Linked DNA regions of Macaca mulatta. The protein of the gene in region 1 purifies or fractionates together with the protein of each later gene. This does not show direct contact. Links are inferred from orthologs where the notes say so. Each region holds a gene or a part of one and is shown in the gene's direction. Other genes may lie near its edges.

What was found.
Region 2: the proteins of PUS10 (region 1) and ABITRAM purify together in Homo sapiens (affinity purification with mass spectrometry; 3 studies listed by BioGRID and IntAct, counting the BioPlex papers as one, with this or other methods). This does not show direct contact. The link is inferred for Macaca mulatta from reciprocal best matches to the Homo sapiens genes PUS10 and ABITRAM.

Annotation. Positions count from the first base shown.
Region 1 is NC_133418.1:63,755,989-63,760,383, forward strand, and holds the start of PUS10 (tRNA pseudouridine synthase Pus10), read left to right. Parts: upstream 1-1,370; 5' UTR 1,371-1,623; exon of another isoform or gene 1,624-1,780; coding exon of another isoform or gene 1,781-1,872; exon of another isoform or gene 1,873-2,393; intron 2,394-2,406; exon of another isoform or gene 2,407-2,583; intron 2,584-4,395. Other genes in the region: PEX13 (peroxisomal biogenesis factor 13), read right to left, coding at 1,781-1,872. UniProt on the Homo sapiens protein: Protein with different functions depending on its subcellular location: involved in miRNA processing in the nucleus and acts as a tRNA pseudouridylate synthase in the cytoplasm.
Region 2 is NC_133420.1:49,472,736-49,477,140, reverse strand, and holds the start of ABITRAM (protein Abitram), read left to right. Parts: upstream 1-1,568; 5' UTR 1,569-1,614; coding exon 1,615-1,693; intron 1,694-2,751; coding exon 2,752-2,803; intron 2,804-3,422; coding exon 3,423-3,552; intron 3,553-4,405. UniProt on the Homo sapiens protein: Actin-binding protein that regulates actin polymerization, filopodia dynamics and increases the branching of proximal dendrites of developing neurons.

The DNA of each region.
Region 1 (4,395 bases):
GAGACAATTAGTTACCTATATGGAAAAAAAATTAGATTCCCTACTTCACATCGATTTTTATACAAAGTTAGTTCCATGTGGATTAAATATATAAATGGGAAAACCAGAAGATTTAAAAGAAAACATACAGAAGAACCGTCCTGATCTAGGTAGACAGGATTTCTTGACCAAGACAAAAAGCACAAACAATAAAATACGACAGTTTTGGCAATATTAAAATCAAAAACATCTGTACAAAAAATTGAACATGAAGAGAAGCCACACAGAGAAAGATATTAGCAAAATGTAGTAACAAAAAAGGATTAGTATTAACAATACTCTTACAAATTGATAAGCAAAGATAAAGCCAATAGAAAATTGGGCAACAGAAAAAACAAAAACAGATATAAAAAATAATAAACATTAACATGTAACTATATATAACATATATATTACTGTTACATTGTTAAGTTTTAGATATAAAATGCATATAAATAGCACAAACCTAAGTACTAAAGTTAAAAAACATTACTGGGTATGCGAAACACCAAATAAGGACAATAGTCACTACTACAAAGAAGAATGGGAGACTTTAACTTTTATTTTTAAAAATGCGACATAAATTTGGCAAATGTTAACATTTTTTAAAGTTGGGTAGTGAATAAACAGGTATTCTTACTCTCTGCTAGTCTCTGTGTTTAAAATATTTCATGATAAAGTGAGCAAATGGTTAATTTTACATAAAAAGAACTTTAACAGATGCAAAAAATAAAACCTCTTCTCATTCGACAAGCAGTCTAAATGGGGAAAAAAGAACCGAATCATAAAAAAGGTAGCAGATAATGTCACCGTGGCTTACCAGCCTAATTAAAGCTTATTACTTGTGATGTATATATCCTTATTAAACTAAGTAGTTACCGTGTTAAAGCATTTTAGTGTTTAAATAAAAGATTTCAGAACACAGCAGAAATACATTCCAATATGTTGGGGTTTTTACGCTTACGAAAATCTACAATAGTAGTTGATTTGACATTTGAATCACACCTATCTGAATTAAGATGTCCAGTACTACCAAACAAAAGCCACACGAGGCCATGAAACACTCCCAACTCTGCATGTTTTAGCCTTTTCAAAGTCCTAGAAACCAACTGATACTGATTAAAAACCAAACAAAAAACTATAGCCCTCAGAAAAATACATCATTTTGCACACAAAGGCCATCCATAGGCCTCAGATCTAGAACTCCTGCTTTAATGTTGCTTCTCCAATCTCAAACTGAAACACTGGCTGAGTTACGCTGGAAAAGAAGGCAAAGCGTTCGGGGCCTGAGTTCTAGTTGCGTAAAACCTTTCGGGCTTTCGGCAACTTCTCGAGAGGTTAACACCTTTAACGAGACTTTGTTCCCTACCGATGCCGTGGCTGGACAAATGCCTCTGTCAACTGCTACAGACCCAAAGTCTATGCTCTAAAGATAGTGAAGCCGTTCTGTCAAAGTGAAAACAGAATGGGTAGGTAGGAAGCCGCCCCGCTTTCTTTCAAGCACAGAGACCCAGAGAGACGCCCAGGAGCTCCCGAAAAAAACGTTGGTGCTTAAGAGTTGCCGGGGGTCAGAAACAGCTGTGAGACACTGAAAAATCCCCACTGGTAAGCGCCCCAACTCCACCTCGACTCCTACCCGCAAGGTTGGGGACTGGTTAAAAGGGGGGGAGGGAATACCTCCCCCAACAACCGCTTCAACCGCCTTCGGCCAAGTCCCCGCTCGGGCCCACCAACCTCCCAGCCTGAAGAATCCCACACTCACTGGAAAGTGGGGCCGGGTCCTGGTCCCGGTCCGGCTCCCGGAATTCGGCGGGTCTCCCAGGGTTTCGGGGGAGGTGGCGGCTGGGACGCCATCTCCTCCGCCTCCGCTCGGCTCCCGCTCCTAGCCCGGACTGTCCAGGCCAGCGTAGACCAGCACCTCGAGCGCAAGGCACAACGGGAAGAACACCGAGCCGTCCACCCCTCCCACCCTGGCAGTCAGAACAAGGCTTGAGTTACTTCGCCAGCTGAATCCATACAGCGAGAGGATGCTACTAATTTGTAGGAAGAAACACGTTCTTTGTATGTGCCCCAGAAAAAGCTCCTGTTCTAAATCTCAGGGTAAAGGCTCATCGATATTTCTGGCAACGGCTACGACTCCCTAGACGTCAGAGTCCGACAGAGGCTTTTCTGGGAGTGGACCAGTAAGGCTGGGAGTAAAGCCCCACGCACTCCTACAGTCGCGGGGGCAGTGGGGTGAGGTGGCAAAGTAGGCGATTTGACGGATTTCCCTACAAACAAGAAGGGAGAAGCTCACTTAGTCCTAGCGAGAACGGGCTGGTACTTTCGTTTAAAGCTCACGTTTCCTCGGGGAACAGAATTGCTAGACGCAATAGGTGCGTTGTCTTTAGTCTTCCCCGTTCCCTTCGAGGGCCGGAAGGGGTTAAATCTCAGGCTCCGGCGTCTGGGGAGAAGGTGAGGCGGGTACGTATGAGGTGAAGGAGTGCAGACTGGGTGCAGAAGAGGTGTGGCGAGAGAGAGAGGTCATTTCTCTCCTGCTGGAGCGGCTTTGTTAGCAAAGGAGGGGTGAGTGGGAAGTTTGTTGCACCTGACCGAAGGGGGAAGGGCTTGCTTGGCCAAAACTGAGGCTTGAGGTTAGATCTCGGGATGAACTTTTCAAGAGTCCACAGTAGATTCCATAGCTGAATGTTTCAGAAGCCCAGTGAAGTGTGATCACCTTTTTCCCCGTAAATCCACACCCCCAGCCCCACGCCGCGGTACGAATGACACCCTTCGGTAGGGAAAGGAGTTTAAAAGATCTTAGGATATGAGACTCAGGCAGTTTTTTCTCACACCCTGCTCGTTTCCTCGTTTTCGATGACTAGTTTTTGTAATCGTCCAGGAGGTGAAAATAAAGTCCTTCCTCTCCTCCAGTAAGCCAGAGACTGGGCTAGTTATCCTTGGTCTGGGGAGGAGGGATTCAGTCCTCCTAGGGAGCCTGACACGTGAAAGGCGGCTGTGTAGCAACTTGTTAGCGTTGTTTCTATAAAACAAACACGTAAACGAAAAGCAAACATCTTGAGGGTAACCAACACTGGAAAACTTACATTATGGGATGCCTTTTTCAGGGCTTGCTTTCAAGCATAATCTAATATGGACAACCGATTTCTGATGTCTTATGAAATCCTGACATTTTATTACCTCACGATGAAACAATCAAATTTAAGGCGTAACGTGTTTTCTCCTTTTAATGTTGATGGATTGTTGGTAGGTGAAATTGAGAAGTTGATAGATTGTTAGGAGGTGAAAATGATGTTGAGAGGTTTGTAAATTCATAGCTCGTTTATTAACACACATTCAAAAGAGGTCTTTTTGTTTGTTTGGGGTCTATTTTTAGACCTCTTCAAATTACTCAGGACTGGAAGTTTTGTAATTCTCATCAATCAGGTTTGGGAACTTCTCAGAGCCAGGAGTTTGTAATGTGTCGTTTATTCGCTTTGCATGATACCTTTGTTCTTGTGAATTTATTGGAGAAATAAACATGGTCTTATAGCCATGGAAAATAAAATAAATTTTAATATAGCTATTTAAGTCTCTAGGGAAATCATTAAGTGTCCTTTTAAAGTGCTTATTGATTTGTTTATTGGAAGAGGGTGTATTTGTGTTTCTTTTTGAGTTAAATGTTACTTCTGAATTAAGTAAAAGTCTTAAGCTAAACTAATGGAGAAAAAATAACTTAGAATAACCGGTGAAACAGAAACAGTTTCTCTGTGTATGTAGTCAGAGATGCACTGTAAATGCTTATATTCAGCCCCTCACAGCATCCAATCTTTTCTCTGCATCAAACTAGATTAAATGGACTGGGAAAAGGGATACAGATCACTAGTAAATAATAATGACTTGACCTTGACCACACAGATTTTATTTATTTATTTATTTATTTATTTATTTATTTATTTATTTATTTTGAGATGGAGTCTCGGTCTTTCGCCCAGGCTGGAGTACAGTGGTGCGATCTTGGCTCACTGCAACCTCTGCCTCCTGGGTTCAGGCGATTCTCCTGCCTCAGCCTCTGGAGTAGCTGGGACTACAAGCACGTGCCACCATGCCTGGCTAATTTTTTGTATTTTTAGTAGAGATGGCATTTCATCGTGTTAACCAGGATGGTCTTGATCTCCGGACCTTATGATCCGCCTGCCATGGCCTTCCAAAGTGCTGGGCTTACTGCAACCTCCACCTACTGGGTTCAAGCGATTCTCCTGCCTCAACCTCCCGAGTAGCAGGGATTAAAGGCACGTACCACCACACCTGGCTAATTTTTGTATTTTAATAAAGATGGAGTTTCACCATGTTGGCCAGGCTGGTCTTGAACTCCAAACCTCAAGTGATATGCCTGCC
Region 2 (4,405 bases), on another chromosome or scaffold:
CTGACATCTGCAACCTCCAAACTTCCTGCCTCTACTGATTCAAACTTTTCTCAGTCCTTGAATGTACTAAAGATTCCTCCACACCAAAGGTCAATAGTGAATTCTCTCTTAAATTTTCTGACAACTCCTTCATTTTCTTCCCTTGTCCCTTCAACTATCCACCTCTTGGCTAGACATCGTATGCATGATTACATGTACCAGGTAGATCACGAATACGCTGATTAGGCCTAAATGCCTAGCCCCGACTGAATTAGCCCAAACTGACCACTAAACCCACATTTTTAACCTCCTGATAATATCACAAGCAAGTCTCACATGCACATCAAATGCGACCTGGAAAGCAAAGAACTTGCTATTCTTCCCCCAAATGACAGTTCCCACTATTTCGGGACAGGCCATTTCTACGCCATGTCCCCGAGCTGGAAAACTGTCTTTGCTGCCTTTCTGCTTACTCTTCATATTGATCTATTCATTGGTTAGCGCCGTGGCTGTGGCTGTCAATATGCTGTTGAATTCTTTACGATCCGGTTTGTGGCCTACATCCAACACCGACTGGGCACTTGCTAAGTGCTGGGATCTGAAGATTACTCAGGCAGCCACTGTCTCCACGGAGATCATCGTTAACGGGAAAGAAAGCCACGTTAAAACACCACGTTAGATGGAGAAGCACAGAGGACACCACCTCCACGAAAAAGTCTCAGACGCCAGAAAGGACCCGCACGACAGCACCCGAGCCTCTATTAACCGCCGCCTTCCATCGTGAATTAATGCTCTAGCTTTCAGCGTTATTATCAACCCCCTGCAAGCAATCAAGAGGCTGGGTTAAGTCTGGCTAGAGGTGCTGCAGGTATCCCTGGGCTGTCGCGCCTCCCAGCGCCCCCGATGGAGCAGGTGGCAAAACTGCAAAAAGAATTTAAGGCTCTAGGAAAGAGGTGGTGCAGCCCGCGCTCCAGTCCCCGGCCCGCAGCAGGCAGAGGAGCCTCCGGGTCTCTTTCACCCGGACACTGCCGGCAGAGGGGTCCACTCCCGTGCCCCTGCCCCGGATGGATCGCTTACCTGAGGACCCCCAAACAGAGGTGCATCCGGCCTCGCCTCCCCAGCCACGCGCAGCCGGCTACCCAGAGTCCGCCCCGAACTGCGCACGCGTCTCGGTCCTAGGCTCCCGCTCTCTCACCGAGCGCACTAGGCCTCCAGGGGTGCGCTGAAGCACTGCAGAGGCCAGCTGCGCAATGGTCGCGTCAACTAGGATGGCCCGGCCCGCGGAGGGCGGCGCGGGGTGACGTCATCCAGCGGCGGAGGCGTGGCCGGGTCCGCTTTCTTGGTCACTTACCGGGACCGGCCTTCTTTGTAGCCCTGGCACCGTAGAGGTAGAGGAACTACATTGGCCGCATCCCCTGTCCCTCTGCCCTCCTGCCCATCTGCCCACACTTTTGTATTTGATCTCTTTTGATGTGGAACCCCAAAGCACAGTAATGGGGGGCGGAACCTGCGGAGCTGGCAGAAGTGCGCGTGCGCAGGACACGCGCTGCGCGCCGGAAGAGCACGCCCAGCCGGGGCTGCGCGGAGGAAGCGCTGGGGTCCGGGAGGGAGGGGGTGGCGGCGCCGGAGGTCGCCATGGCTACCGAGCCCGAAGCAGCGGAGCCGGTGGTGCCTTCGCTCGTGGATCGATACTTCACTCGCTGGTACAAACCGGGTAAGTGCAGAGTGATGTTGATCCCTCCTTGGCCGCATTGGCCTAATGCTGTGGAGACTACGTTGACAGATCGTAAGCCACGCGCTCTCTCCCTGGCGCTCCCTTCCCACGTCAGAAGGAGCTGGACTTCTGTGTTCCGTCTAGGCCCAGGTAGTGGCATTTGCAAAGACCTGGTGGCCTGAAATACTTCAGGGCGCATTCTGGGACCGGCGATTGCAGTGCGAGCTCTAGGGTGTAGCTCACGGAGGCCCCGGAGGTAGGCGCAGGGCTAGGTTGCCACAGTCCTGAAGTGCCTGGAGGGATTGAGGGGCTCACTGTCACAGCGATTAGCAATACATAAAATTATGTAAATGATCAGATCGAAACCAAGGTAGAGGCAGTAGGGCTGGCGAGAAGAGGGTGGGCTACAGACATTTAGAAAGCAGAATTACACATTTACTTAAGGAGACGCCACCGGTATTGTTCATCTGCCACTTAGAAGTAGGTATTCTTTTTGTACTGTTTTGTGTAAGCAGTACCAGTGGCGGGAGCATCGTTTGGGACTCTCCTTTCTTCCTTTCATTCAGTGATAATGGTTATACTCAGTTAAAAAAATATATATTGTAGCATATTTTCTGTTGGTCAAACATAGGGTGACCAACCTGTCCTAGTTGACCCATGACTGAGGGGTTTCCCAGAATGTCGGACTTGCACCAGCATCAGAACAGTCCTGGAAACCACCAACAAAAAATATATATCATAAAGAATGGGATGCTAATTGCATTTTCCTAGCAAAAATACTGTGTGTACTCATTTTGAAGTGAGTGTAAAGGAAGATGGAGCAAGGAGTTAATTACCTTAATGTTGAATAAATTATTCTGTCTGGGCCAGATCTCTTTAAATACTTTCCAGGAAGCCTTTGGGTATGTCTTTTTGAGCAATGTAGGGATAGAAGTGACCAGCATGCAGCATGTATGTGTCCAATCTTCATTATTAACTATCTCTATGACCCAAAAAAGGACCACATAGTGGTAGTAAGTATTGATTTCAGCCACCAACAGACTCATTTATTCTTCTAGATGTCAAAGGAAAATTTTGTGAGGACCACTGTATACTACAGCACTCTAACCGGTAAGCAAATTGGGAATTTTAAATTATCAAAACCTTTTTTTTTTCTGGTATTGTAGCCTGGTATGGTCTTGTGGTCTTGGATTGAACAAATGCTCACTAAACAAACATGCATTAATTATCTTCTACTGTGTTGAAATGGTATTATTATAGGAGTTTGTTTGGCAAGAATGAGTATTCCAGTGCCTGGCCACTCTAAACAAATAAATTTGATTATTCAAACACCCAAATGGAGGACCACATCATCAGCTACTACCTGAAGTGGCCAGTCTGTTCCCAACTACTGAACTGTTAAGAGCCCACAGAAAGGGCTACGGTAGAGACATACATGGTATCTTGTATACACAGGCATGCCTTATTTTTTTGTCTTCTACCCCAGTGCAACCTACCTAAAGATCTCTGGTACTCTTCCCTTTCCTGGGAAAGAAATTCAATCTTGTTTTCTCTTTTATTATTGTATTCTCCTTTCTACAGTTATGCCCCAATAGTAGCCAAAGAAAAAAGGGGGAAGATGATAGTTTGACTAAACAAATACCAGTTCATACATTCTTGTTCCAATAAGAATTATGGGAGGAAAAATTATTCCAAGCAATCACATAGGATCAATTTTTTCTCCTTGTAGAATATGTGTCATCACATTGGCAGAATCTCATCCAGTTCTTCAAAGTGGAAAAACAATTAAAAGCATTTCCTATCAGATCAGTACCAACTGTAGCAGACTTCAGAACAAGGTCTCTGGGAAATTTAAGCGGGTATGTTCCTGTAATTCTGTGATTATCTACTTACATCCTCTATATTCATGGTAATGATAGATCCAATGAACCTTAGAATCCAATAGCATATACTTAGCATACTTCTCTAGCAGTTTGAGGTGCTGATTTTAAGTGTACTTTCACCTAAAGAAATTCTTAGACTCCCAAAAATTAGGTATCTCAGGAGGTGTAGTATCTGTTTTATTAGGTTCTGTGCTACTATCTCTATAATGCCCAGGATGGGGGAGGGGGAAGGCAGGCCTTTGAAAGGAGAACTCTAATAGCAATATAACAAGATATTTTGTCCCTTCTAGTTGTATTAAACTAGTATCTCGAGTTCTGTAAAATTTAGGTGACCAACTCTTCTTTACCATGTATTTCCACATGTAAATTAAACAGAAAAAAAATTCCCAGGGGAGTAAGAAAAAAAAAAAAAAAAACATGGGCCAGTCAGAATGGCTCACGCCTGTAATCCCAGCACTTTGGGAGACCGAGGTGGGTGGATCACGAGGTCAGGAGTTCAAGACCAGCCTGGCCAATGTGGTGAAACCCCATCTCTATAAAAATACAAAAATTAGCCAGGCGTCGTAGTGGGCACCTGTAATCCCAGCCACTCGGGAGGCTGAGGCAGGAGAAGGGCTTGAACCTGGGAGGCAGAGGTTGCAGTGAGCTGAGATCGCACCACTGCACTCCAGCCTGAACGGCAGAGCAAGACTCTGTCTCAAAAAAAAAAAACAAAAAAAAACATGAATATGAGAAAATATATGGTATTTGCTCCTTACGTTTTTCCATTCCTAAAGCATTGTCAATGTAATACACATCTACCCACCCCCTGTACCTGCACACAACACTT